7 linked regions of the Xenopus tropicalis genome follow. The protein of the gene in region 3 purifies or fractionates together with the protein of the main gene of each other region. This does not show direct contact. Links are inferred from orthologs where the notes say so. Each region holds a gene or a part of one and is shown on either strand. Other genes may lie near its edges.

The links.
Region 1: the proteins of ppp1ca (region 3) and pfdn2 purify together in Homo sapiens (affinity purification with mass spectrometry; 3 studies listed by BioGRID and IntAct, with this or other methods). This does not show direct contact. The link is inferred for Xenopus tropicalis from reciprocal best matches to the Homo sapiens genes PPP1CA and PFDN2.
Region 2: the proteins of ppp1ca (region 3) and erbin purify together in Homo sapiens (affinity purification with mass spectrometry; 3 studies listed by BioGRID and IntAct, counting the BioPlex papers as one, with this or other methods). This does not show direct contact. The link is inferred for Xenopus tropicalis from reciprocal best matches to the Homo sapiens genes PPP1CA and ERBIN.
Region 4: the proteins of ppp1ca (region 3) and ylpm1 purify together in Homo sapiens (affinity purification with mass spectrometry; 3 studies listed by BioGRID and IntAct, counting the BioPlex papers as one, with this or other methods). This does not show direct contact. The link is inferred for Xenopus tropicalis from reciprocal best matches to the Homo sapiens genes PPP1CA and YLPM1.
Region 5: the proteins of ppp1ca (region 3) and ccdc85c purify together in Homo sapiens (affinity purification with mass spectrometry; 4 studies listed by BioGRID and IntAct, counting the BioPlex papers as one, with this or other methods). This does not show direct contact. The link is inferred for Xenopus tropicalis from reciprocal best matches to the Homo sapiens genes PPP1CA and CCDC85C.
Region 6: the proteins of ppp1ca (region 3) and kif18a purify together in Homo sapiens (affinity purification with mass spectrometry; 3 studies listed by BioGRID and IntAct, counting the BioPlex papers as one, with this or other methods). This does not show direct contact. The link is inferred for Xenopus tropicalis from reciprocal best matches to the Homo sapiens genes PPP1CA and KIF18A.
Region 7: the proteins of ppp1ca (region 3) and pfdn6 purify together in Homo sapiens (affinity purification with mass spectrometry; 3 studies listed by BioGRID and IntAct, with this or other methods). This does not show direct contact. The link is inferred for Xenopus tropicalis from reciprocal best matches to the Homo sapiens genes PPP1CA and PFDN6.

Annotation. Positions count from the first base shown.
Region 1 is NC_030684.2:143,079,709-143,084,491, forward strand, and holds the start of pfdn2 (prefoldin subunit 2), read right to left. Parts: upstream 3,238-4,783; 5' UTR 3,235-3,237; coding exon 3,196-3,234; intron 1,579-3,195; coding exon 1,490-1,578; intron 1,328-1,489; coding exon 1,204-1,327; intron 104-1,203; coding exon 1-103. UniProt on the Homo sapiens protein: Binds specifically to cytosolic chaperonin (c-CPN) and transfers target proteins to it. Binds to nascent polypeptide chain and promotes folding in an environment in which there are many competing pathways for nonnative proteins.
Region 2 is NC_030677.2:187,603,528-187,608,135, forward strand, and holds the start of erbin (erbin), read right to left. Parts: upstream 3,012-4,608; 5' UTR 2,362-3,011; intron 1-2,361. UniProt on the Homo sapiens protein: Acts as an adapter for the receptor ERBB2, in epithelia. By binding the unphosphorylated 'Tyr-1248' of receptor ERBB2, it may contribute to stabilize this unphosphorylated state.
Region 3 is NC_030685.2:487,763-492,352, reverse strand, and holds the start of ppp1ca (protein phosphatase 1, catalytic subunit, alpha isozyme), read right to left. Parts: upstream 2,897-4,590; 5' UTR 2,827-2,896; coding exon 2,772-2,826; intron 1-2,771. Other genes in the region: npipb11 (nuclear pore complex-interacting protein family member B11), read left to right, coding at 3,254-3,258. UniProt on the Homo sapiens protein: Protein phosphatase that associates with over 200 regulatory proteins to form highly specific holoenzymes which dephosphorylate hundreds of biological targets.
Region 4 is NC_030684.2:82,137,961-82,142,052, forward strand, and holds part of ylpm1 (YLP motif-containing protein 1), read left to right. Parts: coding exon 1-2,154; intron 2,155-2,549; coding exon 2,550-2,670; intron 2,671-4,092. UniProt on the Homo sapiens protein: Plays a role in the reduction of telomerase activity during differentiation of embryonic stem cells by binding to the core promoter of TERT and controlling its down-regulation.
Region 5 is NC_030684.2:90,646,729-90,650,820, forward strand, and holds part of ccdc85c (coiled-coil domain-containing protein 85C), read right to left. Parts: intron 1,633-4,092; coding exon 1,528-1,632; intron 1-1,527. UniProt on the Homo sapiens protein: May play a role in cell-cell adhesion and epithelium development through its interaction with proteins of the beta-catenin family. May play an important role in cortical development, especially in the maintenance of radial glia.
Region 6 is NC_030680.2:20,710,081-20,714,172, reverse strand, and holds part of kif18a (kinesin-like protein KIF18A), read right to left. Parts: intron 3,576-4,092; coding exon 3,418-3,575; intron 1,346-3,417; coding exon 1,241-1,345; intron 222-1,240; coding exon 111-221; intron 1-110.
Region 7 is NC_030684.2:72,109,209-72,112,101, forward strand, and holds the end of pfdn6 (prefoldin subunit 6), read left to right. Parts: intron 1-1,434; coding exon 1,435-1,559; intron 1,560-1,634; coding exon 1,635-1,755; 3' UTR 1,756-1,977; downstream 1,978-2,893. UniProt on the Homo sapiens protein: Binds specifically to cytosolic chaperonin (c-CPN) and transfers target proteins to it. Binds to nascent polypeptide chain and promotes folding in an environment in which there are many competing pathways for nonnative proteins.

The sequences.
Region 1 (4,783 bases), on a different chromosome or scaffold from region 3:
CATCCTCCCCCATGATCCGGATGTTGTGCTTCTCCCGGAACTCATTCAGCTCTCGGCCCTTGGTCTGTAGCTGTGTGCTCAGGGACTCCAGGATCTTGTTAATCTGCAGAGAGATGAGACGTGGGGGTTACGCTCAGAACTGGGGGGGGGGGGGGGGCAGCTACATGCCAGGGCCACCCAGTATCACCCAATGTAGCTCAGAATGGCAGGGCAAGAGCTGAATGCAACTGCCCAGGGCAGCCAATCACTTGTGTTTCATGTCTGTAGCCACACCCTAGCCAGTGTCAAGCTCCGCCCTCCCCAACTAACATTTACTTGGTCTTGAATGCTTTGATAAGGGGTAATTATATCTTAGGGCTGTTCTGCCCCAATAAGGGGTAATTATATCTTAGTTGGGATCAAGTACAGGTACTGTTTTATTATTACAGAGAAAAGGGAATCATTTAACCATTAAATAAACCCAATAGGGCTGTTCTGCCCCCAATAAGGGGTAATTATATCTTAGTTGGGATCAAGTACAGGTACTGTTTTATTATTACAGAGAAAAGGGAATCATTTAACCATGAAATAAACCCAATAGGGCTGTTCTGCCCCAATAAGGGGTAATTATATCTTAGTTGGGATCAAGTACAGGTACTGTTTTATTATTACAGAGAAAAGGGAATCATTTAACCATGAAATAAACCCAATAGGGCTGTTCTGCCCCAATAAGGGGTAATTATATCTTAGTTGGGATCAAGTACAGGTACTGTTTTATTATTACAGAGAAAAGGGAATCATTTAACCATTAAACCCAATAGGGCTGTTCTGCCCCAATAAGGGGTAATTATATCTTAGTTGGGATCAAGTACAGGTACTGTTTTATTATTACAGAGAAAAGGGAATCATTTAACCATGAAATAAACCCAATAGGGCTGTTCTGCCCCCAATAAGGGGTAATTATATCTTAGTTGGGATCAAGTACAGGTACTGTTTTATTATTACAGAGAAAAGGGAATCATTTAACCATTAAATAAACCCAATAGGACTGTTCTGCCCCAATAAGGGGTAATTATATCTTAGTTGGGATCAAGTACAGGTACTGTTTTATTATTACAGAGAAAAGGGAATCATTTAACCATTAAATAAACCCAATAGGGCTGTTCTGCCCCCAATAAAGGTTAATATGCCCTTTAATTAGGTGCCCACAAGGCAGAGCCTTACCTGCTCTTTATTATTCTCCAAAGCCGGAAGCACTTCCTTCACGGTGCGTTCCACCAGTACCCCCCCGACCATCCGGAAACACTTCCTGCCCTGCTCCACTTCCTTCAGGGTGTCGATAACCAACCTGCGGAGCGAGGGAGACGACTGTCAGTTAGTTAGGGAGATCTGCACTGGTTCCGACTACAGAACAAATGTAGCGTGCAACAGAGAGGAATAACGACCCTCGGGGAGAATCACATTGAAGGATTCTTCATTGCTGAACGACCTGTTTGCTAATGAGACTCACGTGTGTTCGTTAAGCTCCATCTCCAGTTCCGCTGCCTTGGACGCGAGACCTCGCTGCTCCTGGCGCAGGCGATTAAATCCAGCCACCACCTGTAGCAACAAACACAGAACGTACATATTAAACAAGGGTATTTGGCTTAACTTTCCCTTTAATGGCAACTCTTAAACAATGTGGGCAAACAGATCAGCCCAGCATTGGCTCATCTTCTTACAGGGGCCTATGGGGTCCAATATCCAGAAACCCTTTATCCATAATGTTCCATAGACTTCTTTTTTAATCACGTTAAAAAGTTATTTCCCTTTTCTCTGTAATAATAAAACAGTACCTGTACTTGATCCCAACTAAGATATAATTACCCCTTATTGGGGGCAGAACAGCCCTATTGGGTTTATTTCATGGTTAAATGATTCCCTTTTCTCTGTAATAATAAAACAGTACCTGTACTTGATCCCAACTAAGATATAATTACCCCTTATTGGGGCAGAACAGCCCTATTGGGTTTATTTAATGGTTAAACAATTCCCTTTTCTCTGTAATAATAAAACAGTACCTGTACTTGATCCCAACTTAGATATAATTACCCCTTATTGGGGGCAGAACAGCCCTATTGGGTTTATTTAATGGTTAAATGATTCCCTTTTCTCTGTAATAATAAAACAGTACCTGTACTTGATCCCAACTAAGATATAATTACCCCTTATTGGGGGCAGAACAGCCCTATTGGGTTTATTTAATGGTTAAATGATTCCCTTTTCTCTGTAATAATAAAACAGTACCTGTACTTGATCCCAACTAAGATATAATTACCCCTTATTGGGGCAGAACAGCCCTATTGGGTTTATTTCATGGTTAAATGATTCCCTTTTCTCTGTAATAATAAAACAGTACCTGTACTTGATCCCAACTAAGATATAATTACCCCTTATTGGGGCAGAACAGCCCTATTGGGTTTATTTAATGGTTAAATGATTCCCTTTTCTCTGTAATAATAAAACAGTACCTGTACTTGATCCCAACTAAGATATAATTACCCCTTATTGGGGGCAGAACAGCCCTATTGGGTTTATTTCATGGTTAAATGATTCCCTTTTCTCTGTAATAATAAAACAGTACCTGTACTTGATCCCAACTAAGATATAATTACCCCTTATTGGGGCAGAACAGCCCTATTGGGTTTATTTAATGGTTAAATGATTCCCTTTTCTCTGTAATAATAAAACAGTACCTGTACTTGATCCCAACTAAGATATAATTACCCCTTATTGGGGCAGAACAGCCCTATTGGGTTTATTTAATGGTTAAATGATTCCCTTTTCTCTGTAATAATAAAACACTAAGGTGCCCCAGTCCCATTGTTGAACCCCCTTCCAACTGAGGGATTATGGGATATCACTAACAGCTCAGTACCATAGCAACACTGCTACCAAGCTGGCTAGCAACAGTTTCTAGGAAGCAGAAGAGCCGGCTGCTCCTGGGCTGCTGTGGGAAGGCTATCAGGGATCCCAATAGGGAATGAATCTGAGTAAATGCCCAAGGAAGCCTGTTCCCACTGAGCTTATAATAGCACATGTGTCTATATAAGGGAATGAATGGCCATAATGAAAAAAGGGCTTTGGGCTTAGTTGCCCTTTAAACGGCCGGTTGGGGGGGGGGGGTACCGGCCGGGCAGACCCCCCAGCAGCCATTATGCCCACCATGCCCAGTACCTGCTCGGCCGCCACCTGCTTCGCTGCATTAGACGCCATCACGCTTCTCTCTCGCACTGCGCACCTTCTCCGCGCAGCGGAAGTCTATGCGTTCCGACGCCACTTCCGCCCGGGAAGTCCTGGCGGCGCCATGTTGAGAGAGGGAAAAGCATGACTGGAAGCGCCTGGTTGGTGGGGCGCATAAGCCGCGTCATAGTCGGGCCGTAGTAAGTGACGTCAACACATTGTGACAGCTGAGGCCTCCTGGGAAAGTGTGTGTGTCAGATATATCGCCGCTTCTTTATAGCCCGTGCGGGGGGGCTGCGTAATGCGATTGGCTAATGGGGTGTCCGGAAGTCTCTAAACTACAGATCCCAGAATGCTCAGCCAAAGCCCGGGGAGCTGACGTTAGCCTCCTGTTGTCATGTGACTACTCCCTAGTGCGCCTGTTATTGGTCAGCCACCATTTCTGGGGTTTCTCTGCCCAGATGCAGGTTAAATAAACATATATAACTACACTAGAGAATAACAAGTCAAATGGGGTTCATCTTGGGGTTCCCAGCTCATTCCCTATCTTGGTAAAGAGATTAAAGGGAAAGTAAAGTCTTAGCACTTAGTGTCTTGGACTAAATCTCCCAATCCTGTTTCCCATTTATTTCTTTATAGTTTTTAAATAAATTCTTCTTCTGCCTCTTTGCAGCTTTCAAATGGGGGTCACTGACCCCGGCAGCCAAACCCTATTGCTCTGTGAGGCTCCAGTTTTATTGTTATTGTTACTTTTTATTCCTTATCTTTCTATTCAGCCCCTCCCCTATTTATATACCCGCCTCTCATTCAAATCACTCCCTGGTTGCTAAGGTAATTTGAGCCCTAGCAACAGTATAACTGACCCCGGCAGCCAAACCCTATTGCTCTTTGAGGCTCCAGTTTTATTGTTACTTTTTATTCCTTATCTTTCTATTCAGCCCCTCCCCTATTTATATACCCGCCTCTCATTCAAATCACTCCCTGGTTGCTAAGGTAATTTGAGCCCTAGCAACAGTATAACTGACCCCGGCAGCCAAACCCTATTGCTCTGTGAGGCTCCAGTTTTATTGTTATTGTTACTTTTTATTCCTTATCTCTCTATTCAGCCCCTCCCCTATTCATATACCCGCCTCTCATTCAAATCACTCCCTGGTTGCTAAGGTAATTTGAGCCCTAGCAACAGTATAACTGACCCTGGCAGCCAAACCCTATTGCTCTGTGAGGCTCCAGTTTATTGTTATTGTTACTTTTTATTCCTTATCTTTCTATTCAGCCCCTCCCCTATTCATATGCCAGCCTCTCATTCAAATCACTCCCTGGTTGCTAAGGTAATTTGAGCCCTAGCAACAGTATAACTGACCCCGGCAGCCAAACCCTATTGCTCTGTGAGGCTCCAGTTTTATTGTTACTTTTTATTCCTTATCTTTCTATTCAGCCCCTCCCCTATTCATATACCAGTCTCTCATTCAATCCACTCCCTGGTTGCTAAGGTAATTTGAGCCCTAGCAACAGGAGAACTGACCCGTTTTATTGTTACTGTTACTTTATATCAATTACCTATCTATTCAGCCCCTCTCCTATT
Region 2 (4,608 bases), on a different chromosome or scaffold from region 3:
TCACATTTGAACTAGTAACTTCACAACCCTTCAGTATTGACAATGAAGCCCAGGTATGCAAAAAAAAAAAAAAAGAAAGCACAACTCTAGGATTCAGTAGATCTGACCTAGAAAAATAAAATAAATAAATTATAAAAGTATTGGCATATTTTTCCCTTGCAGTCAAATTGAAAAAGTTGTATTGTGCTGCTGTCAGTGGAGCACTCGGCTGGCCGATTAGGAGAGCCAGTTTAGATCTGCATGCCTTCCAATGAACAAAGAGCTCCACTGTGTGTAAGAACAAGGCAGAAAAAAAATGAAATCCCATAGCAATCTGCCCTGCCCCCCACCTCATACACCCACACACACCCCTTCTGAAGATAAAGTTAATGGAAACTTTTTCAAACACGCAAGAAATATGTAAAGTTTAAAACTATTTAAAATGTTTGTCAAGGCCCTGATCTGGGCAGTGGGGTTAATGTAACGAAGGCCATTGAAGTAACACAGGAAAGAAAAGAGCAGGCCTCCAACTAACACTCAATTTTTATAGCTGTAAAACCACACCAAACGTTGCCTTGTATTCTCGCAAAGCTTCGCTTTACGTAACTGTGTCATTTAATATTTCCTACAAATAGAACGGTAAGGAAAACAGAGCATGACATGGACACTCTGCATTATTTATTTAAAATATGTATTCTTTTTAGTGTAATCATTTTAAAGAAGCAGCTGCAGGTCATTTCAACTACAGGTATGGGACCGGTTATCCAGAATGCTCGGGACCTTGGACTTTTCAGATAAGGGGTCTTTCTGTAATTTGGATTGCCATATGTTAATTTTGCTAAAAAAATCATTTAAACATTAAACTGAATAGGGTACTGGTTTATTATTGCAGAGAAAAAGGAAATCATTTTCAAAAACTAGAATTATTTGATTAAAATGGAGTCTATGGGAGATGGCCTTCCCGTAATTTAAAGCTTTTGGGTAACAGGTTTCCAGGATCCCATACCTGGATCAAATCCCATGTGCCAGGTCAGTCACAGACAGGTAGATGGCACAAATATTAATACATTAATAAAGCTGTAAAGTTAATAATAAAATATCTGTTATTTGATTTACCATCAGGCTCAAACATTGTATTCTACTTCTCTTAGTCTTGTCATTTTCTGCATTGGTAGAAAGTCAACTTAAGCAAAAGAGCTTGAGCTCCATTAGAAATTCTTGTAAAGATGCAAAGCAAGTTCTGGTCATTGTTGCATTTACAGAACTGCTAGGCAACGACTCCAATCAGTGTGGACCCCCCCCCCACACTACATGCAGACAGGGCCTGCTGAGCAGAACCACCAGAGTAAAACTGAGTTTATAGCAGACATGTGTGTAACCTGGGAACTCACTGTTGAAGACAGAAGCTGCAATTTTATAACAGCTGAATGGGAAACATATCATTTACATGCATGTCCAACCTGGGGCCCTCCAACTATTATGCATACCATGACAGTCAAACACTACTGTAGTACGAGGATGGAGGGGCTCAAACATTATATCCCTGATCTAAAATAGCCAAGACTTCGAAACTGTGGGCCTGAACAAGGCAGTAACTGGGGGGGGGTGATTTAGCAGGTAGACTACAGAGGGGAAATATGCTTTTTTATATACTCCTAGAATTCCCGGAATGACGGTTAACAGGGTAAGATTTTTGTGGCAAACACTCAAGGAGCTATGCCATCTGTAACAGAGTTACAAGCGGAGGAGGGCCCCAACCAAATGTTCAACATGAATGGGGGTTCTGAAGTCTGAAAACCGTAAGGCCTAAGGGATTTCTACCTTGCCAATCAGCTGACAACATATTCTTCAACCGTCTTGACCTGGCAAGGAATACTGTAAGTTCAAATAACAGCTGGAAGGCCAGACATCAGACATTTGCATTCTAGATTGTAAGCTCTCGGATTTCAGTTTCTCTTTGTATGCTTCATGTCCGTGTAGAACTTGAATAGCATCTGTAATATACTAATAATCACCCTGGAAAACAGCACTTATTTATAAACAGCCCCAACAGCAACAATAGAAGCATCTGGTTGCAGCACAGAGAGGGAGAGCAGTCTGCCCGACAACTCAGACAGCTGCAACATGCTGCTGGACCATTTTGTGCAGCAGAGAACTTCTTATATCAACTGTGGTGATGTTTAGAGATCAGACAACATCTCGGTCCATTTAAAACCAGCAGCATCCTTCTGCCCCAGACTAAAGCATGTTTCTGCCCAGAACCAACCACCTGCTAACTTGCCCTGAGTTTTACTGCTGAAGCCCCCCAGTCCTTGGCCAAAACACAAAGCAGCCTCATCCAACTCTCCCCCCCTGTCTCCCCTGTAAAAGCCATAGCATTACCTTATTAGAGTTTGCTAGATATTTCAGTGTAATGTTCCACTTCCTCCTGCATTGAGTTTATTGTAAATCCAACAAGCTTTTCTCTTCTCAGAATCCAGAAAGGTGTAATAATCCCACAAACGTATAGAATTTTCCGCAGAGAGAGAGAGAGATGGCCAGAGAACAACAAACCCGAAGGCCGGGAGAGAGGATCACAAAGGGGCTGTAGAAGTTCCAAACCGAATGAGCTCAAGTTCGTTTCCCTCCAATGCTTTCACCGTTCCTTAATCCTGGGAGGGGGCTGGAAACATCCCAATTAGAGAGAAGCAAAGGACAATTCTTTACCAGGGACGGGATTCCAGGTCCACGTTTCGGGGAGTAGAGAGAGAGTGGGGGTCAGGGGAATAAACAGGCAAGGGGAGGGGGGTGTAGGAAGAGAGAGAGCCGTGTAGGGACAGGGGTCCCGCTGCATTCACTGCTCCTCCTAGTGACACCCGTACGAGTCATGAAGGGTGAGCCGGAGTGTAGGGTATATTGTGCCACTATGGGAGCCGCACCCTCAGCGCACTCACACACACAGCCCGGCCAAGCAGCACTCTCTCCTCCCCAGTACTGCTCGCAGCCGCACACACTCTCCCCTCCCCCTCTGTCTCCAGTCTCTCCTCCCCCCTCTCATAAGGGCAGTCTCTTTGCTACTCTCACTTCCTGAGGCGTCTCGTTTCTCCTCTATGTGGCCCCTGCTTAGGCTCTCTCTTCATTTTACCCCCATCATGTAACATATTTCTAATGAAAAGGTGCAGTAAAGCTGCTGCCCCCCCAGATGTGTTTCAATCACAACCCCTTAACCCGCACTAGGAACCTTTGTGGGTATTTTAGTTCTGCAACAGTTGAAGGGGGGAAACGAAATCCTATTTTTAAAATGCTTATTCCATCTTTTATTTGATTGTCAGCTTGTAGGACAAGATGTAATGAGACTCAGGGACAAGTGTTACTGTACAGGACCCTAGGTGTATGTAGATTGGATCCATTACTTAGTGTTTAATCCTTAGGGTTAATTTGTGATGCTATTAGCCCATTCAAATAGGGTGCTGACCCAGTGCCCCAAGCTATCAGTGACTGGTCCACAGAGGCATTTACATGAGTGTGTGTGCCAGTCACTGTTATCCTAAGTAACAGATTTGTTAGGGGCTCATCACCTTGAAAGTGTCATGGAGTATCCAAGGCTATTGGCTACAGGTGCCCAGATTTAAGTGACCACCACAATTTGTTTAACCTTTTTACTTGTGTTCTGTACCCAAGGGTCATGGCAATATAAGTATTATACAGTCAGTGCCTCTACATACATAGCCTTTAGGCAGTCATATACAACCGGACCTTGTACAGTATGTGACCAATCAGCTTGCAGGTGCAATACAAGGTTATTATTATTACTATTATTAATATTAACACATATTTATACATCACCAACATATTTTGCAGGACTGTACAATAAATGGGTGTATGCACTGAACATACAGATTACATACAAATAATTAACTGGTAACCGATACAAGAGGTAAAAAGGGTCTGCCCAAAAGAGCTTACAGTCAGTTTCATACATTGTCGAGGCTGAACAACGGGAACAGCAGAAAGTGAAGACACTTCCATACAATGGAAAACGTGGTGCATCAGCAGATTAGGTTTTTAAAGGAGAATGAAAGTTACAATAACTGGGGGATGCCAAATGTTAGCTTCCATACATGTACCAAAAATCAAAGATTTTATTGTCATTTGTCAGGCCACCCTAAGCCTTAGCCACTAGGAAGGAATGCACTAAATCAGGAGAGCTACTCAAGTAGTGGTAAACTGATCAGTGTCCATACACTTACTATGGCATGTCAGAGTCGACATAAGAACCAAACGTGTCCAAATACAGTGGATAAGAAATACTGTAGAATAAAAGGGGTAAATAACCCCTTAATTTGTTTTATTGTGTCCATTATGGACAATATTTATATTTTATTAACTTCAGTTGTACTTTAGGTCAGAATATATGGTTCGTTAAATAAATAGAAACTCCACAGATATTACAAAACAGTTTAAGTGTGAGCATTAGATAAAAGATTAATATGTGTCTTGAGTAGAGTTGCCACCTGCCTTGTAAAGTGATGCTTGATGCTAATGTAAGCTATAAAGCTAAACATATAGGACAGAAACTAAAGCTATACATACATGTATAAAGATTATAAATTAAATAATAATCTCATTTGGATATAATCAGTTCCATCG
Region 3 (4,590 bases):
AGGGCCCAATCATAGGCCCCTCCCCCACCCAACAAGGGCCCAATCATAGGCCCCTCCCCCACCCAACAAGGGCCCAATCATAGGCCCCCTCCCCCATCAAACAGCGGCCCAATTATAGGCCCCTCCCCCATCCAACAAGGGCCCAATCATAGGCCCCTCCCCCATACCCCACCCAAAAAGGGACCAATCATAGGCCCATACCCCAAAAAAATTACACCTTGAGTGGAACACATGATGCTCACTGGTACCCTGACCCCACCCCCCCAATACACAGCTTTCTATTGGGCCATTCCTTACAGCCTGACCCACTGGGACAGGGCCGCTCCCCTCAGATTGATAGGAACCCTGATACTGTGTGTGTGTGATATTAAAGGGGAAATATCCCTCCCCTGTGGGACATGGGCTCAGTCAGTTGGGGGGGGGGTTAAGTAGATATAAATATACAGGTATTATTGTTATTGTATACAGTGTAACTGCCCCACTCCCCCCCCCATTACAGTGTAACTGCCCCCACTCCCCCCCCCCCATTACAGTGTAACTGCCCCACTCCCCCCCCCCCCCATTACAGTGTAACTGCCCCACTCCCTTCCCCCCCCCCCCATTACAGTGTAACTGCCCCACTCCCCCCCCCCCCATTACAGTGTAACTGCCCCACTCCTCCCCCCCCCCCATTACAGTGTAACTGCCCCCACTCCTCCCCCCCCCCCATTACAGTGTAACTGCCCCCACTCCTCCCCCCCCCCCCATTACAGTGTAACTGCCCCACTCCTCCCCCCCCCCCCATTACAGTGTAACTGCCCCACTCTCCCCCCCCCCATTACAGTGTAACTGCCCCACTCTCCCCCCCCATTACAGTGTAACTGCCCCACTCTCCCCCCCCATTACAGTGTAACTGCCCCACTCTCCCCCCCATTACAGTGTAACTGCCCCACTCTCCCCCCCCATTACAGTGTAACTGCCCCACTCTCCCCCCCCATTACAGTGTAACTGCCCCACTCTCCCCCCCCATTACAGTGTAACTGCCCACTCTCCCCCCCCATTACAGTGTAACTGCCCCCACTCCCCCCCCATTACAGTGTAACTGCCCCCACTCCCCCCCCCATTACAGTGTAACTGCCCCACTCCCCCCCCCCCATTACAGTGTAACTGCCCCACTCCCCCCCCCCCCCCATTACAGTGTAACTGCCCCACTCCCCCCCCCCCCCATTACAGTGTAAACTGCCCCACTCCCCCCCCCCCCCATTACAGTGTAACTGCCCCACTCCCCCCCCCCATTACAGTGTAACTGCCCCACTCCCCCCCCCCATTACAGTGTAACTGCCCCACTCCCCCCCCCATTACAGTGTAACTGCCCCACTCCCCCCCCCCATTACAGTGTAGCTGCCCCACTCCCCCCCCCCATTACAGTGTAACTGCCCCACTCCCCCCCCCCATTACAGTGTAACTGCCCCACTCCCCCCCCCCCATTACAGTGTAACTGCCCCACTCCCCCCCCCCATTACAGTGTAACTGCCCCACTCCCCCCCCCATTACAGTGTAACTGCCCCACTCCCCCCCCATTACAGTGTAGCTGCCCCACTCCCCCCCCCCATTACAGTGTAGCTGCCCCACTCCCCCCCCATTACAGTGTAGCTGCCCCACTCCCCCCCCATTACAGTGTAACTGCCCCACTCCCCCCCATACAGTGTAGCTGCCCACTCCCCCCCCCATTACAGTGTAGCTGCCCCACTCCCCCCCCCATTACAGTGTAACTGCCCCCACTCCCCCCCCCCCATTACAGTGTAACTGCCCCACTCCCCCCCCCATTACAGTGTAACTGCCCCACTCCCCCCCCCATTACAGTGTAACTGCCCCACTCCCCCCCCATTACAGTGTAACTGCCCCACTCCCCCCCCCATTACAGTGTAACTGCCCCACTCCCCCCCCCATTACAGTGTAACTGCCCCACTCCCCCCCCCATTACAGTGTAACTGCCCCACTCCCCCCCCCATTACAGTGTAACTGCCCCACTCCCCCCCCCATTACAGTGTAACTGCCCCACTCCCCCCCCATTACAGTGTAACTGCCCCACTCCCCCCCCCCATTACAGTGTAACTGCCCCACTCCCCCCCCCCATTACAGTGTAACTGCCCCACTCCCCCCCCCATTACAGTGTAACTGCCCCACTCCCCCCCCCCATTACAGTGTAACTGCCCCACTCCCCCCCCCCATTACAGTGTAACTGCCCCACTCCCCCCCCCATTACAGTGTAACTGCCCCACTCCCCCCCCCATTACAGTGTAACTGCCCCACTCCCCCCCCATTACAGTGTAGCTGCCCCACTCCCCCCCCCATTACAGTGTAACTGCCCCACTCCCCCCCCCATTACAGTGTAACTGCCCCACTCCCCCCCCCATTACAGTGTAACTGCCCCACTCCCCCCCCCCATTACAGTGTAACTGCCCCACTCCCCCCCCCATTACAGTGTAACTGCCCCACTCCCCCCCCCCATTACAGTGTAACTGCCCCACTCCCCCCCCCCCATTACAGGTGTAACTGCCCCACTCCCCCCCCCCATTACAGTGTAACTGCCCCACTCACTCCCCCCTCCCCATTACAGTGTAACTGCCCCACTCCCCCCCCCCCCCATTACAGTGTAACTGCCCCACTCCCCCCCCCCCCCATTACAGTGTAACTGCCCCACTCACTCCCCCCCCCCCCCCATTACAGTGTAACTGCCCCACTCCCGGTTGGGCCCCCGCTAACCCCTCCCGGCATGCCCCGGGGCTCACCCTCCAGGAGCCGTTGGATAATGGAGTCAATATTGAGTTTTTCTCCGTCCCCCATCGGTGTCTGTGTGCGAGGAAGAAGCGGACGCGGTAGGCGGAGCTAAGTACTAGCAAGTCACGTGTTTTCTCGCCGCCGGGTAATGACGCAAACACGCTAACGCCGCGCCCCGCCTCTCTTGTAAACGGAGGATTTGGATTGCGCAGGCGTGAAATTTCCTAGCGGCTACTGATTGGTTGGCAGTGAGCTAAGAATTCGAACTACGCCACGCCTTTTCCGCTGCGTAAAAGGGTGTGGCTACACAGCTGCACAGGAAGGCGCTGATTGGTTGGCTGGGAAACGGCAAACTCCTAGCCTATAGATCTGCGGCCGGTGACGTCAGTAGCGAGCGGGTCCTATTATTGCGCGGTTCCGCCCGTATCCTTGGCAACCGCTGCTAGAACAACAGTCAGCCGGGGGAGGGAGGGGTGCGGAAGCCTGAACGGAAATGACGTAACATACCCCTAGAGAGCGGAACGCCGCCCTTTACCGAACTACCGGTCCCAGCAGCCCCCGGTAGCCATGGCAACCCCCCCCCCTTCTTCTTCCCCCAATAGGCTGTATCTACTCATCTCCCTCAGCCCGAACCCATCCTTCCTCTGCTATGGGACAGCTCTATGGCATCTCTATGGCTCAGTGTTGGGGTGTCAGGCAGCTCTATGGCTCAGTGTTGGGGTGTCAGGCAGCTCTGTGGCTCAGTGTTGGGGTGTCAGGCAGCTCTATGGCTCAGTGTTGGGGTGTCAGGCATCTCTATGGCTCAGTGTTGGGGTGTCAGGCATCTCTATGGCTCAGTGTTGGGGTGTCAGGCATCTCTATGGCTCAGTGTTGGGGTGTCAGGCATCTCTGTGGCTCAGTGTTGGGGTGTCAGGCAGCTCTATGGCTCAGTGTTGGGGTGTCAGGCATCTCTGTGGCTCAGTGTTGGGGTGTCAGGCAGCTCTGTGGCTCAGTGTTGGGGTGTCAGGCATCTCTGTGGCTCAGTGTTGGGGTGTCAGGCATCTCTGTGGCTCAGTGTTGGGGTGTCAGGCATCTCTGTGGCTCAGTGTTGGGGTGTCAGGCATCTCTGTGGCTCAGTGTTGGGGTGTCAGGCATCTCTGTGGCTCAGTGTTGGGGTGTCAGGCAGCTCTATGGCTCAGTGTTGGGTGTCAGGCATCTCTGTGGCTCAGTGTTGGGGTGTCAGGCATCTCTATGGCTCAGTGTTGGGATGTCAGGCATCTCTGTGGCTCAGTGTTGGGGTGTCAGCATCTCTATGGTTCAGTGTTGGGTGTCAGGCATCTCTATGGGCTCAGTGTTGGGGTGTCAGGCATCTCTGTGGCTCAGTGTTGGGGTGTCAGGCATCTCTATGGCTCAGTGTTGGGTGTCAGGCATCTCTGTGGCTCAGTGTTGGGGTGTCAGGCAGCTCTGTGGCTCAGTGTTGGGGTGTCAGGCAGCTCTATGGCTCAGTGTTGGGGGTGTCAGGCATCTCTGTGGGCTCAGTGTTGGGGTGTCAGGGCATCTCTGTGGCTCAGTGTTGGGGTGTCAGGCATCTCTGTGGCTCAGTGTTGGGGGTGTCAGCATCTCTGTGGCTCAGTGTTGGGTAGTCAGCATCTCTGTGGCTCAGTGTTGGGGTGTCAGGCATCTCTATGGCTCAGTGTTGGGTGTCAGGCATCTCTATGGCTCAGTGTTGGGGGTGTCAGGCATCTCTGTGGCTCAGTGTTGGGGTGTCAGGCATCTCTGTGGCTCAGTGTTGGGGTGTCAGCATCTCTATGGCTCAGTGTTGGGGTGTCAGGCATCTCTATGGCTCAGTGT
Region 4 (4,092 bases), on a different chromosome or scaffold from region 3:
ACCTGATTCTCAAAAGCAAAGTACTTTTAATGCCCCTGGTGTGGGTGTTGGTGCCCCAATGCTTTCTAATGAACTCAGTCTCAAAAATCTAGCTTCTGAACCACTAATAAGTGAAGCCCCTAATCAACATAGACCCAGTGCTCCTTTGGTTCCTGTCCAGCCTAGACCCAGTGCTCCTTTGGCTCCCGTCCAACTCAGGACCGGGGCCCCTCCAGCTCCCGGTCAGCCTAGGTTCGGGGCCCCTCCGGCTCCCGGTCAGCCCCGGGCCGGGGCCCCTCCGGCTCCCGGTCAGCCCCGGGCCGGGGCCCCCCCGGCTCCCGGTCAGCCCCGGGCCGGGGCCCCCCCGGCTCCCGGTCAGCCCCGGGCCGGGGCCCCCCCGGCTCCCGGTCAGCCCCGGGCCGGGGCCCCCCCGGCTCCCGGTCAGCCCCGAGCTAGTGGCACAACTGTACATGGCCATCCCAGACCTGGAGTCCCTCATCCACTCCCAAGAACTGGTGCACCAAGTCCCTTTAGATCTCGGACTCCCTTAGGCCAGGGTCCAAGGATGGGAATGCCAGGTCCCTTCAGGCCTGGAGCTCCAGGACCATTTAGAGCAGGTGCACCTCCTGTTGGCCTTCCAAGAGGAGGGTTTCCTGTTTCCTTTAGGGCAGGGGCCCCAGGTCCTCCCAGGATAACTGGCCCTCGGGGCCCTTCTTCAATTAATCCCACAGAACTACAGGACTTTCAGATTGCAAGTTTACCTGCAGGGCAGATTCCAGGTGGTTCCCTTGTGCCACAGGAATTCGATCACCCTTTAAATGTAAAGGAGGCTTCTAAATCTAGCTCTGCCATGCAGAACATATTGGCAGAAGATCCCGATATGTCTTTGTCATCAGTAAGGGTTCCCTGTAGTGAGGAAGGAGAGTCGGGTGCAAATATTTTAAGAGATGCAGTGCCAGACTTCCCTGAAAGGCATACCAGGCATGGTGACATTGAAAATTATGATGCAATTCAAGAACCAGCCTATGCTAATGCTCACTTACAGCCGGGCCCTTCCAGGTTACATCATGGGAGAGGAGGATTAAGGGAACAATGGTTGCAAGGTACAGAACAGTGGAGTAGCCAAGGGAAAAGATTAGAAAACTATGAAGTAAAATTTGATCAGAGGGGTAGAGGTCGCTCTAGAGGACTAGTCCGTGAACGAATTCTGCCCAGACCAGGCAGTCGTGATGCTATAGAACATTTAAGAGAGAGAGATTTTGGGTCAAGGGGTAATTTCTTGGATGAGAGACCTCCCCAGGGCCCTGATTATGATCCACTTTTTATGAGAGAGATGCTTCACAGAGATCATAGATTTTCTGATGATGAGAGACCTCCTTTGGATCCCTTGGAAATTACAATAAGAGAATATTTGGACAAAGTTAGGCTTGATAATTGGGAATGGGAAAGATATATGAGAGAGAATGAATTTCTTCGAGAGCAAAGCCATGCATTTCTCAGGGATGAGAGGCTTCCTTTTCACCACCATCCTCCTCTCCCTCCTCCTCCCCTTCCTCGTGACACAGATGTTCGTCAAGATCCTTGGTGGGATAGACTTCCAGAAAGAGAACAGTACAGAGGGCCTGGTGATGTAGTGGAGAGATTTGAAAGGCCTTATGAGGGACATGATCGGGAGAGAGATTACTTAAGAGTGCAGGAGGATTTGGACTTTTTGACACGTGAAAGGATAAGTGCACATCCTGTTCGACGACCACTTTCTCCTCACCGTTCACTTTCACCTTTACGGCCCCGCTCTCCTCTACCACCTCTTCCTCCTCTTGATAGATATCTTGATGAAAGTTGGAGAGATGACAGAGAAACTGACCGAGATTTTCGTGAACGTGGGGACATCAGAATACTGGAATACCCAGAAAGGCAAGAAGAAAGAAGCCGTGAATTCCCCCCAAAGAGAGTAGAGTGGAGGGAAGATCCATGGTATCCTTCTGAAAATAGATTGGAAAATCGTATAGATCCCAGTCACAATCTTGAAACACCAGTGTCACTGGAAAACCCTGTACCTGGTGCAGAAAGCAGCCAGGAAATGGAATCTGCACCCTCTTCTGCTGGAGTTTTGGCACTGAGTCAGAGACAACATGAAATTATACTAAAAGCTGCACAGGAACTCAAAATGCTCAGGTACCCAATGGAAACGTACATGCATAAGCTTGTAATTGCTGTTGAGTTTTGCATGTCCGTTTTGTATTTTTAGTGAAAATATGTATAATTTAGAAGTAGCTGATCAGGCAGATTGTAATTTTATGGTTTTAAGTATTTTTTGTGTACTTGAATTAGTTTTTTTTTTTTTCTTCAGAAACATCAGGCTTTTTCAGTTATTTTAATTTAATCACAATATTACAAAATAGTTGACCAGAAGTTTAGAAGCTCACTTACCAACTTGGGTTCCTATCAAAACATCTTTGAGTTGAGATAAGCTGTGTACCTAAAGCAACTTTCTGCAAAGTAATTTTAGAAAGAAAATTAGTGTTTAGACTTGCCATGTGGTTCTTGACATCATTTTTCACTTTCTTCAGGGAACAAAAAGAACAACTGGACAACTTAAAGAACTTTTTTAGTGATTCTCAGACTTCTGGGGAATCAAAACACCAGCCACCCTTGCCAGGCGATAGTGGTTCAGCCCCAAATATGTTCAAGGTAGGTTTGCCTAACAGGACCAACAGACTTCCCACAAATACTTAAAAAAAACACACATCAGTTATTTATGATTTTATTAAGTTTATTGGTTTTTCAAGAAAAGAGGAGAATGAGAACATAAACATTTAACAGTTAATACCAGTACATTCTTGGTGGACCTATAGTATAATGAAACAGTAGTAAACTCCATCCATGGAGCCACAGAAGTTTGTGGTCAAAAGCCTTTGCCCAGTATTTGTGCTTTTATGGCCTTTATGGGCCTAATCCACTTCACATTGGCGACTAGTGCCTGTTGAGCGTGTATGTGTCATTTTTCACTTGCTTCCTATAGGTGTTTTTGCAGCTGTCCGTATGCAGGATGCTACTTGATGGGTTTACTCAAGAGGCAGGTCAGGGGATCAGGATCAATTCTTTATTTGAGGACAGTTGGGGTGCATTTGCCACCATCTCTTAATATGCTGTTACCACCCTGCACATTCACCAATATGCTTATTACAGGAAAAGGGGGAATAGGGAAAGAAGAAGTTCTCTTATCCAATACATTTTCTCCAAAACTGGTGTTTTGTTGGGGGTATAAAATATGTATAATATAAAGTATAAGATAAAGAAGGAATAGATAACCCCTTAATTAGAAAACACTTTTAACAATGGCTTCCCACTGTTTGATACGGCTCAAAATACCAATCAGGAGTTCATTAATTGATTCAATAAAATGATTAGTGCTAAATAAATAAGAAAAGGGGCAATTATTTGAAGGTGCTAGCTTTTTCTCCACACCTCTTGATTATTCCTTTTCTTTCTATATATACCTAATTAATTAAGGTGAATTATCAATCAATAATTTGGCACTTTAAAGGAGAAAGAAAGGTAAAAACTAAGTAACTTTATCAGAAAGGTCTATGTAAATACAGCCATAAGCACTCACAGAAATGCTGCACTGATTTCTCTGTCAAAAGATTTTCTGTGTCTGTTTTCCTCTCCCAGAGACACACAGCTCTCTGCTCTCTCCACTCTCCTGCTCCCCCCTCCCTCAAGAATGCTAAGAACTCACCCCCCCCCCAGGAATGTGGAACTGAGCCAATTGGCAGGAAGCTTCCTCATAGTCTAACTGAGCATGTACACTGGTCTTGCTCTTGGTGCAGGAGTGAGGCATTATGGGAACTTTTTTTACACAGTCCAGTGTTTTTTCTTGTCCTGTTTGGCTTCTGATCATGAGAACGGGAGAAATATGGGGAAACTTAAGGGCACTATTGAGAGAACTGAAGTTATGCCTGCAGCTTGACATTATCTCTTTATTAGCCTTTCCTTCTCCTTTAAAAAATGTGCACATTTTTATCTAATTTTTCAGTCACCAATTGATGATTTTGAAGAGAAACTGTAAGAATACAAAACTATAGCACATGCACTTTGTTAAATTAAATT
Region 5 (4,092 bases), on a different chromosome or scaffold from region 3:
CCAATGCATATCTTCTGGATAGACCTGGAATGGTAGGGCCCACCAGGATATCTACTGGTGTTCCATTGCACTGTTCCAATGCTGCTGGGCTGGTGTGTCAGCCCCATGGAACAGGTATGCATCTAGAATAACTGGGAGGTGCCTAACAATGTTGCAGCCTCAGTGATTTTACCTTTCTTTTAATATCTCCATGAGTCTATATAGACTTAGCGCTACCATTTTAATACTGCGGTAGCAGAATGTAACATGTGGTGAATGGTTAAAGAGGCAAAAACTGGTGTGCTACCAAATTTTACACCAGTGTTTTACACCAAATTTGATACCAGAAATACATACATATAAATATTTTTTTTTTTTCTGGTATGAAATATATATATATAAATATAAAATGTATTTTTCAGACCAGTACACCCTTTTAACATTACAATGTCTTTATTGTGAGCACATCGCACAAAAATCTTTGTTGCATGAATATTTCTTAAAATGTGCCTAGCACAATAAAAAAATAGGCATTTTCTATAACCCCAATCACTTCCTGGTCTGTAGACTGTAAAGTGAGTTATATAAAAAGACTCTACAGTATGTTACTAAAAAAGGGGTAGTTCACCTTTATGGAAAATTTTAATATGTTGTATAATCACCAATTCTTAGCAATTTTTCAATTGGTCTTTTTTGGTATTCTTAATAGTTTTGAAATTATTTGCCTTATTTTTCTTCTTATGACTCCTACCAGCTCTCAAATATGTCCCTAACCCAAGCAGCCAAATAATTATTCCTGTGCAGACTACAATGTTAGTGTTTTTGTTACTTTTCATTTCTACACTTTCTATTCAAATCTGATTGCTATTGCTGAACTGCACATTCTTTTAAAATAGCACTTTCTATAATATGCTAAAAGTTAGTTCAAATATGAACAACCCATTTATGAAAGTAAAATAAAGAAAATTCTGCAGAACTTTATATTTCTGGGACAAAGTGTATTCAGGGTTTACCGATATCTCTTTAGGGCACAGAGAAAACAAATGACAGATGAGATGTACAGATCCTTCTGTTCTGCTCCCTCCCTGTGTGATTATTATATGGGATTAATATATATTTTATCTGACACTATACCCTTTACACTGTAAAGCAAGTCCTTACACGGAAATGAAGGTGCTTCCCCTAGACAAACAGACAATGAGGCACTGTAATACATACAACAACCACATTCATATACAAGGTACCTAATATTAAAGTGTTAACTTTGTCTGCATATAATTTAAATGAGGATGATCTATACACATGGGACCTTTAACACAGGTTTCAGGGGTAATTTATGGGAACCTCAGGGTTTATGTCCCATAAATATTCAAGAGGCGCATTATTTAGAGACAACAATACTCCTGCCTATTGTTTGGCCTTATAAATATTCATTTTTCTTAATACGCTTGAGTAAAGAAGGGAGGCTTGTGTCTCCTCCGTCCACACAGATCTTTGGCATTCAGTTAAAGCTCTGGCTGAATGAGTGGGAAAGAAGAGTTTCCTTACGTTCTGCAGAGGCTCCTGGTATTGAGGCAGTGGTGACAGCTGGGATTCAGAGTGGTATGGAGATAAGCCTTTTCTTAAAGTTCTTAACTCCCCAGAGGTAGAGTGCTGCAAAAGAAATGGCACAAAAGAGGTTCTGCGTGAGGTAGATATGAGGAGACAGGCTTCCAAGGCATAATTACACACTGTTCACTTTATGTCAGTAGCCTGGCCAATAACCAATACATTTGATCTTTTGAATTTCTGTGAAGTTTATTTGGATAAGAAGACCTCCCATGTCATTATAAACAAAGGACCAGTAACACCAAATGATGAGATCATCCTACATGCCTTTACATATAATGCCAGTTATAGGGGTCATGTTCTGGGACATAGCGCAGGCAGTTACCTGCCCCAAATGTGCATAGGGGATAGTCAGTGCTCAATTATCACAACAGTTTGGCACACTCATTATACACATCTGATAATCTACTCTCTGCTCCCTCCATTTGTCCATCCTCTTTCCTTCTATGTCATTCTCCATCTACCCTTCTCTATCCTTACTCAGCCCTTCTGATCCTTAACCCTACCACATCTCTGCAGTAGGTTAAAGGGAAACCTTTGCCCGGGTTACTGCATAATTCCCTAGGAGAGAGAGCTTTTAGTCACACTGGCACACCTGGAAACCAGCCTCTAGCTAGCACTTGTGTGATATGTAAAACTTACTGCAGGACCAAACAAACATGCTGACCATTTTAAAAACCAAATAATTATATCCAATAGTTGATATTATAACCGTAAGTAAACATGCAATATTTGTTAGAAGTGGATTTCGGGCCTCTGTGCCAGTGTAATTTGTGGTGATCCTGCACAAATAAACACAAGTATCTGCAGGTAAATATGGCACCATGGACAGAATAACTTTTATATTTAAAACATGGCATTTTACATTTACCTTCTTCGGATTGATTTCCCTTTCTAAGAATGGGAGGTACCAGGGGTTGCCCAGGGAAGTGCTGGGTGTTTTTTAATAGATGCTTGTGGCAGACAAACCAAATGGGAAGTGATCTGTGGTGGACAGAGGTTTTGATAATCAGATACTGATGGACATCAGCATATAGACTTTACTTAGAAATAAGGTGTAATGCCCCTTTACTGGTGTTCTACAGGCACAATATCTAGTGACCAAACAATATGTACCCAGGGATGTCAGTAATGACACTGGATGCATCTCAGCCGGAAAGGAATCAGCAAGTCCAAACATCCCCTAAGTAAAGACAAACCCGTTAGGATAATCCAAGGATTGTAGTAATCACAAGTCGTTTGTGACATTTGTCCAACATAAACGATAAGGAAAAAAATGGTATTGCAGAAATCTCCTACCCATTGTGTAAGAATATGCATCTTGGAAATGTTCTTTATCTTTTGCATGGTAAAGCAATTTCCTTCATAAAGGATCCATTCCTATTCAGACCCTAGTCATACTAATTTAATTTCTGAAATGATGCTGTATCACGGCTTCTGTTCTTCCGGGTCTCTAATCCTCTTAAATTCTCTGAACCATATGTGAAGTTGAACAATATAGTAAATAACCACGAGTAACCTCTAGATAATACCTTTGCCATTGGAGAAGTGATTCAAATACAGTATACAAACGGCTGAAAGCATGCATTAAATGTGAATTGGGTATTTTAATGAGAAATAACCTATTTATAAGCAGGAACTGTAGATGGTAAAACATATAGCTGAAGACTTTTATGACAATTCTTTATTTATATAGTGATTCCTTTTTCAACTTACTGTACATAGGGACAGAGCCCTATTTATTTTAATAAGTGTATTGTCTCATACAAGGGGGCGGTTTGACATACTGGTTGGCTAAAAAAAAAAAAAAAAAAAAAAAAGTTCTCACCTTTGGTCAAGCTGCTTTAACAATCACTGTAACAAAATATTTCTTATTGGGAATGCCATTGTTTGGCTGAACAAGACAGACTAACATTAGTCAGTATAATGACCCTTTAAGGACACTGGGAAAATGCACAGGTAGATTCATGATTTCCGTTCTAGGCTCTCAGAAAATTTCTGCTGCAAAAATACTGAGGTTTTCTTTCTCAAAATGACTCAAGTTGCATATTGGATTTATCTAGGGCAGGGGCGGGCCAAGCCGACCAAGCTCCCTAGGCAACCTGGTCAGCCACCTCCCCCCTGCACCGCCCCCCCACACGCGTGTGCTTTGGCGTTCGACACCCCCCCCAACGGCGCATGTGCACCGAAACACACGCGAGGGGATGCGGTGTGATCCGATCGGTCATTGCCTCCACCGCTAATGACAAGTAGGGCTCTGATCGGTCATTGCCTCCACCGCTAATGACAAGCGGTGGGGGCAATAACAAAGTAGCACGGACTAGGGGTAGACAGGAGAGGCTCCTGCCTGGCGCCCCCCAATCGTTGCGCCCTAGGCAGCCACCTCTTCTGCCTACCCCAGGTTCCGGCCCTGATCTAGGGGCGGAAGCATATGGGAATTTGTAGGAGGTAAAAGATACAACAGCCAGTGAAGCAAAAAGATCACATGTACCTAAAAAGTACAGG
Region 6 (4,092 bases), on a different chromosome or scaffold from region 3:
AATGCTTAAATATGTATTTTTGCAGGAAAAAATAAATCATCGCATTTGCTTCCATTACCCTTACTGTAACAATTTACTCCCAGGTAACCCATAGTGGCCATTTAACTTACCTGAAACACAGCATGTGACCGTGATGACGATGCATTCATGTCAGTAGGGTGCTGGGTTCTATTTTTGTTTCCATAGTCGAGCATCTGAAGGATCTCCTCGGCTGACTTGGGCTAATGTTCGAGAGAATGAAGACATTCTTTAGATACAAGTGTTTGAGTTTCATTGTATTATCCATTGCTATAGCAAAGACAAACATGATGCATATTTCACAAAGGGGAATTATTTTTAAAGCATAAGTAATCTTTTATTTTGAAATCCCCTAAAATTACTCTGTACAGTCTCCAGAATAACACAACGATCCTGCATGCAAATTTGATTTACAAGCAGCTGAACTGCAGCTCTTTTACCGACTTCCTTGTCTAGCGGCAAGCTCTGTCCCTTTTGCTTTCTGTGCACTCCCTCTTTCTCCAACTATGATGACCTCAAAGTGGTGCCTACTGGGCATGCTTACTGCCTCTGATCCAATTAAAATCAATCAGGCATGCTCAGTAGGCACATCATTGCCAGAGAGAAGGTGTGCTCAGAAAGCAAAAGGGGTGGAGCTTCATGCTAGACAAGGAAGTCCGTAAAAGAGATGCAGTTTAGCGGCTTGTAATAGAGAAACAAAATAAATCTGCATGCAGGGAGAAATGTATGTCATTCTGGGGGCTGTACAGAGAAGTTTTAGAGATTAAGAAAATTTATAATTTATACTCTATAGAAATTGTGTGCAACGGTGACACTAGGAACACAGCCAAGCAGTTTTTCCACTTAGTCCCCTCTGCAATGTATCTGGAGCCCAAAAAGGCAACTCTTTAGGCTTGCAAAATGGGGCTCATTAGTTCCACCCTTATTATGCAGCCATGCCAATGTTCTATAATGTATAGGCAGCACCTGGGCATCCCCTTAACTTGTGTCACACACAGGACACACAAGGTAAGGGCGTCATAGAAAGCTAAAAGCAAAGTATCCCTGATTTGGACATCTGATTTGACCCAAACAAGCACTTGGTCTTTTATTTACAAGCAGCTGACCAATCAAATATAGGAGCTGAATGGCTGCTGTTGGTTTGAAATCTTAAATTAACAGTGTATTAAATTAAGGTAAGTTAGAGTAGGGCGCACTGGGCTTTTAGAAATCTTAATCCTACCTGATGTAATGTTAAGCCTTGCACAACAACTCCTTTCTGAGCATCCTCTCTCACAGCCAATGCACCAGAATTTGAAAGGAGGTCTCGGATCTGCTCATTGTAAACCTAAAGATAAATACAACACAAGCCATACTTTATTGTGAAGTAAAACCAATTGCATTGAACAAATGATGTTTCCCTGCATTACTGTATTTAAAAATGTAAAGCCGGCCATTCAAGCACTGATAATATCGTACAAAACCTCCTTTCGTACGATATTCGGTGAGTGTATGGCGGCTCGACGAGGCGCCATTAAAGGCGCCCAAGCAAAATCTATGTTCAGGGCTGAATTGGCAGAAGGAGGTAGAATTTCAATTGTTTCTACCTCCATATCTGACGATTCAGCCCTGAACGTCAGTGGAGGGTGGGAACAATCTTTGAAAAGATCCCTTTAGAGAGATCAGCTGTGCTATTTACCTCCACACGGGAATGCTCAGGATTGGTTTTCCAGTGATGACAATAAGAAGCATAACACGTAGATTAGGGCCTGTAGCCATTACCAGGGCACTTTTTTTAATGACTGACATGGCTTCTCTTTGTGGCATCCACAGCTACTAATTAGCAGTAGTCTCACTGTGTGAAATATACCAAAGACACTGTTTTACTAAGGCCTATGAAGAACACCTTACCCGAGGCAAGTAATAAACACAAATTTGTAGCCTCATAGAGCAATAGTTTCTGACTGTCGGGGTTATTGACCCCCTCATTTGAAAGGAGGCAGAAGAAGGCAAATCATTAAAAAAATAAATAAATAATGGAAACCAGTTGCAAAGTTGATAAGAATAGCAACATATATAACATACTAAGAGTTTACAGAAAGGTGAAACAACCCTTTAAAATTAGCTTATGGGAAATGGGTAAAATGCATGTTAAACCTGGACCTGGTGTACTATCAGGCAACAGACATTAACTATGATGAGAGATTTGGGAATGGAAGTGGCCAAGATGGTTGATGCAAGGACTTAAAGGAACAGTAACACCAAAAAATGAAAGTGTATAAAAGTAACTAAAATATAATGTGCTGCTGCCCTGCACTGGTAAAAGTTGTGCGTTTACTTCAGAAAGTCTACTATAATTTATATAAATAAGCTGCTATGTAGCCATGGAGGCAGCCATTCAAAGGAGAAAAGGCACAGGCACATAGCAGATAACAGATAAAACACCATTGTATTCTACAGAACATATCTGTTATCTGCTATGTAACATGTGCCTTTTCTCCTTTTTCCCAGCTTGAACGGCTGCCCCCGTGGCTACACAGCAGCTTATTATATAAATTATAGTAGTGTTAAGCTGGCCATACACGTGGCGATCCGACGATGTTTCGTACGACCATCGGTCGCACGAAACATCGTCAGATCCGCCACACACCATTCAGGGCTGAATCGGCAGGTAAGGAGGTAGAAACAATAGGATTTCTACCTCCTTCTGCCGATTCAGCTCTGAAGGGAGAATTTTGGTCAGGCGCCTTCTATGGCGCCCGATCAAAATTTTCTAACCTGGGCGATCGACGAGCCGACCGATTTCAGCAGCTTCCTGCGACATCGGTCGGCTCGCTGACATACCATACACGCACCGATTATCGTACGAAACGAGGTTTCGTACGATAATATCGGTGCGTGTATGGCCACCTTTACTGTAGCAAACACACCAGTTTTGCCAGTGCAGGGCAACAGTGCATTATATTTTTATTACTTTAAAGCTCTTTCATTTTTTGGTGTTACTGTTCCTTTAAGTGAGGCCAGGCCAAATCGTGGATGTTTGCCCCTTTCTGTATGTAATGTTTACATGGCTGCTTTCTCAAGCGACTTGTGCCCCTCTTTCTCCTGCCTCCAGATATACAGTTTAGCTATTTAGTCATCTGTTTTTTTCCCGGTTTTTATTGATTAATAATAAAAAGCTGCAACTTAAAATGTCACATTATTCAAAACACACTAATCACTAAAAAATAAACCAAGACTATCTGAAAATTAAGCTGACTTTTTGTATTTAGTTGACAGTGATGACCCGTTTAACATTTCGGTCTATACACATGGGCAAAGTAGAGATTTATGGTGCTGTAACAATAAAAAATAAAATTGCATGCAGTTAAATAGTTTGACTTAAGAAAAAAAAAAAAAAAATTTTAGCACAATACAAACCTCAAGGTAAGAAATGGCAACATTACAAACTTTCTCATCTTTTACACTCTCAATCCGGTTGTATAATTCCATCATTGTTAGATACATGACTCCAGGCTCCCCCGGTGACCCCAGCATAGTGTGAGTCTTGCCAGCACCCGTTGCTCCATAAGCCAGAACTAAAAAACGGGGGGGGGGGGAAAAAGTGTAAATCAATTTCTAAATAAACTAGCTAAAGAACATTAAGAGTGGGTAGTGCGATTTGTACATTTTACTCACGGATAAAACTTTTGTATTTTTTTTAAATAAAGTGCGTGTATTGGGTTATCTGTGCCCAAATGCCCAGCTTCCTTTGCTCTCCATAGATTCTGTGACTTCAGGTCCCAGAATCCATCACTTTACAATAGAACAAGGTAAGGAAGGGATTGAATCACACCGTGAGCCTAAGATGGGGGTAGGGGAGACTTGTCTCAAGTGGCAGATATAGACTATTATGGTTCCCTTTCAATTTGCAGAATCAGGTATGCGTGTATAAGAAAAAAAGTGAGGGAGGGAATATTTTCTCTTTAAGCTGATAATACATATAGATGTGTTTGTTGCCCATGCAAGAGGATATTTGCCCAATAAGGACACCCACCCTGTGGTCATCCAAATATGATTGAATGATCTTTTCACTCCTGTGCCAATGATCAAAAT
Region 7 (2,893 bases), on a different chromosome or scaffold from region 3:
GTGTATATATTTAGTATAATTATTTTATTATTAATGCTAACTGCTTATTTATATTATTTGACTGCACCCATCACATACAGCATATTTATAGTTTAGAGAGAATACAGCCACATCAAGCAAAGTTATTGTTGGTGGAATCAGTTTTTGCTATTTGATATCTTACGCCTCCCCAAAAGCCATGTCAGACAAATTCTCAAACTGAATTGTTGTTGTATCACACTACACATGTTTACAATTGCACTGTATTAAAGAGTTGGTGAAGGTAGGGCTGGGCGATATACCGCTTAATACCGAATACCGGTGGTTTTTTTTAAAACTATATTCATTTTTCAGATACCGCAATACCGGGGTGTCAGGGTACTCACCCGTGCGGCCCGGTCTCGCGTGCGTCCTGTTGTCCGCGGGACGTTGCGCACGCGCATCCAGGTGCGCGTGCGTCAAAGCGCACGTACATGTCAAAGCGTGCACGTCCGTGATGCGCTGACGGCGCCGGTTCTGTGCATGCGTGGGGGGTATTTAAAGCTATCAAACGCCTCCTCCTGTGCTATGTTGTCTGCGGCCTTGCCTGGGAAACTAAGCCTGCCTGATTTACCTTACGACTTTCTGTTGCCGATCCTTCGCTTGACTGATTTTCAATACTGCAGTAATTATTTTCTAATTTATTAGGAAATGGGGTTAACACCTAATCATGCATGGAAAAAAAAAATACCGTCAAATACCGTGACACCGATATAATTTTGAAAAATACTGTAATATAAATTTTTGGTCATACCGCCCAGCTCTAGGTGAAGGTTAAGTAAAAAAGACCTCAGCTCTAACATCTCAGATCTAAGTTCCTCTACTTTATACTAGGGATGAAGCAAATCCACTATTTTGGTATCCGGCCAAACCCCAAATCCATTGAAAAGATTTGGGCAAATACCAAACTGAATCCTAATTTACATATGCAAATTAGGCCACGGAGGGGGTTAAAGAGGACTGTATGCTTTGCACATGGTCAAAAATTTTATAAATATATAAAAATAGTTTTTTTTAATCCAACCTTATGATTTTGTTATCTCAATTATGACAAATTGCGTCCTTTGTCTGCTGGAATAGTGGCACTGTGGGAAATAATAGGGTTTGTATTCAAAGGTAAAACTGCAATCTTAAGACAATAACCCATTTTATATAAGCTGCAGAAAGAGAGGGCAAAGACATTTTCTTCCTAATATTTCCATTAGGCAAATACATAATCATTTCTAAAATGGTCCTGGAAACTTTTTTTTTTTTTAAATGTATTTTCAAAATAAACAGGAACAGAAAAGAAGATTTCAGACATTAACAGTAATCATATTTGGCAATATATAGAATGTCGGGTAAATATAAAAAATAACAATATAGTGTGATTCTTAAGAATGAAATGTGTATGTGTGTTTCTATATATCTCTGTAGGAGCTGGCTTTTCTGGATGACAGTAACACTGTATATAAGCTGATTGGTCCAGTGCTGGTAAAACAGGACCTGGAAGAGGCAAAGTCTACTGTGGATAAAAGACTTCAGTACATTAATGGAGAAATGTGAGTAGTGTTTTTCTTTAGTCTGTATTGAGATTAATAACTGGTTTGTATAATGTTTGAATGTTTGTTTCTCAGCAAAAGATATGAGACCACACTTAAGGATATGGAGCAGCGTTCAGAGCAACATAGGGCATCCCTTACTAAGCTTCAACAAGATTACCAGAGGACACAAGGAAAGGGGCCAGTGAAGGCCTGAGGGGCATTCAGAATAATCTATAACCCTAGACCTGGTTTTCATTGGTCATTAATGCTCCAGGACTGTGTAACCAAAACTTTGCCCACCATTTATTTTCCTGGAATACTTTTGGCACCTCCTGCCTCTTGTGCACACTGATGCCACTTCTTGGACAGTAAGAGCTTCATTGTGGAAATACTATGTCTTGAATTGTGTTGGGTAATAAAAATGCTTTGACTCCGAGAGGACTTAATCTTATCTTTCCTGGGAGAATAGCAGAACATTGCACGTAAGAAATACACAAACCATACATATAGTTTCTGAACAAATGGAACAACTCCTGACCTATGAACAATAAGTACCAATAGAAATGTAAGAAGTGAAATTAGATACCAAGGGGCCTCCACCCAAAATAGGTTTTGTTTGTTTGTATAAGAGATTAATAATTCTAAGCAACATTCCATTATGCACTAAACAATTGAGTGGTTCAATGGTTATTTGTAAATTACATTGCTTTTAAAAGTAGTGTTTTTCTGCAGGTCTGTTAATCTTTTGGCTTTTGTTATTGAACACCATTGAATAACTGTATAAAAAAAGTTGCTTAGAGTTACATCTTCTTTTATTATGCCAAAAAGTGTTGAACCTCTTTAAGGAAGACTAATATTTTCAGCCCAATTACTACATATTAGAGAAATTACATGACTAAAATACATTTGTGTCTCCAGATCTATTAATGGACCCATGTGCTTGGTTCGTGGCACTGGATCAGAAGTGTGTAGCGCTGGCTCCTTCTGAAAGCTCAGACTCACAATGCACTAAGATTAGGTAGAGTTAACAGTGTAAAAAGTATACCATGAAATCATGACAAAATCCCTTTGTGAGCTCAGCAGCACCCACGCTGCAAGGGGGGTGGACGCCGATAATGGGTCTCTCAGCAGCTCCAGAGTATGTAGCTTAAAGAAATACAAAAACGTTAAAAATCTAGTCTTTAGGAGCTTGTTTTCCAGTGGCCATGTGATTGTACATGTGATACCTGTAAGATACACACAGTTACATTTGGAACATTAACCCCTTCAATACTATATGAAAATGTCATGAAAGTCAAATTTGGTCTGTGGAATTTAAAGGAGACATATCCTATAAAAATGATGAATGTAGC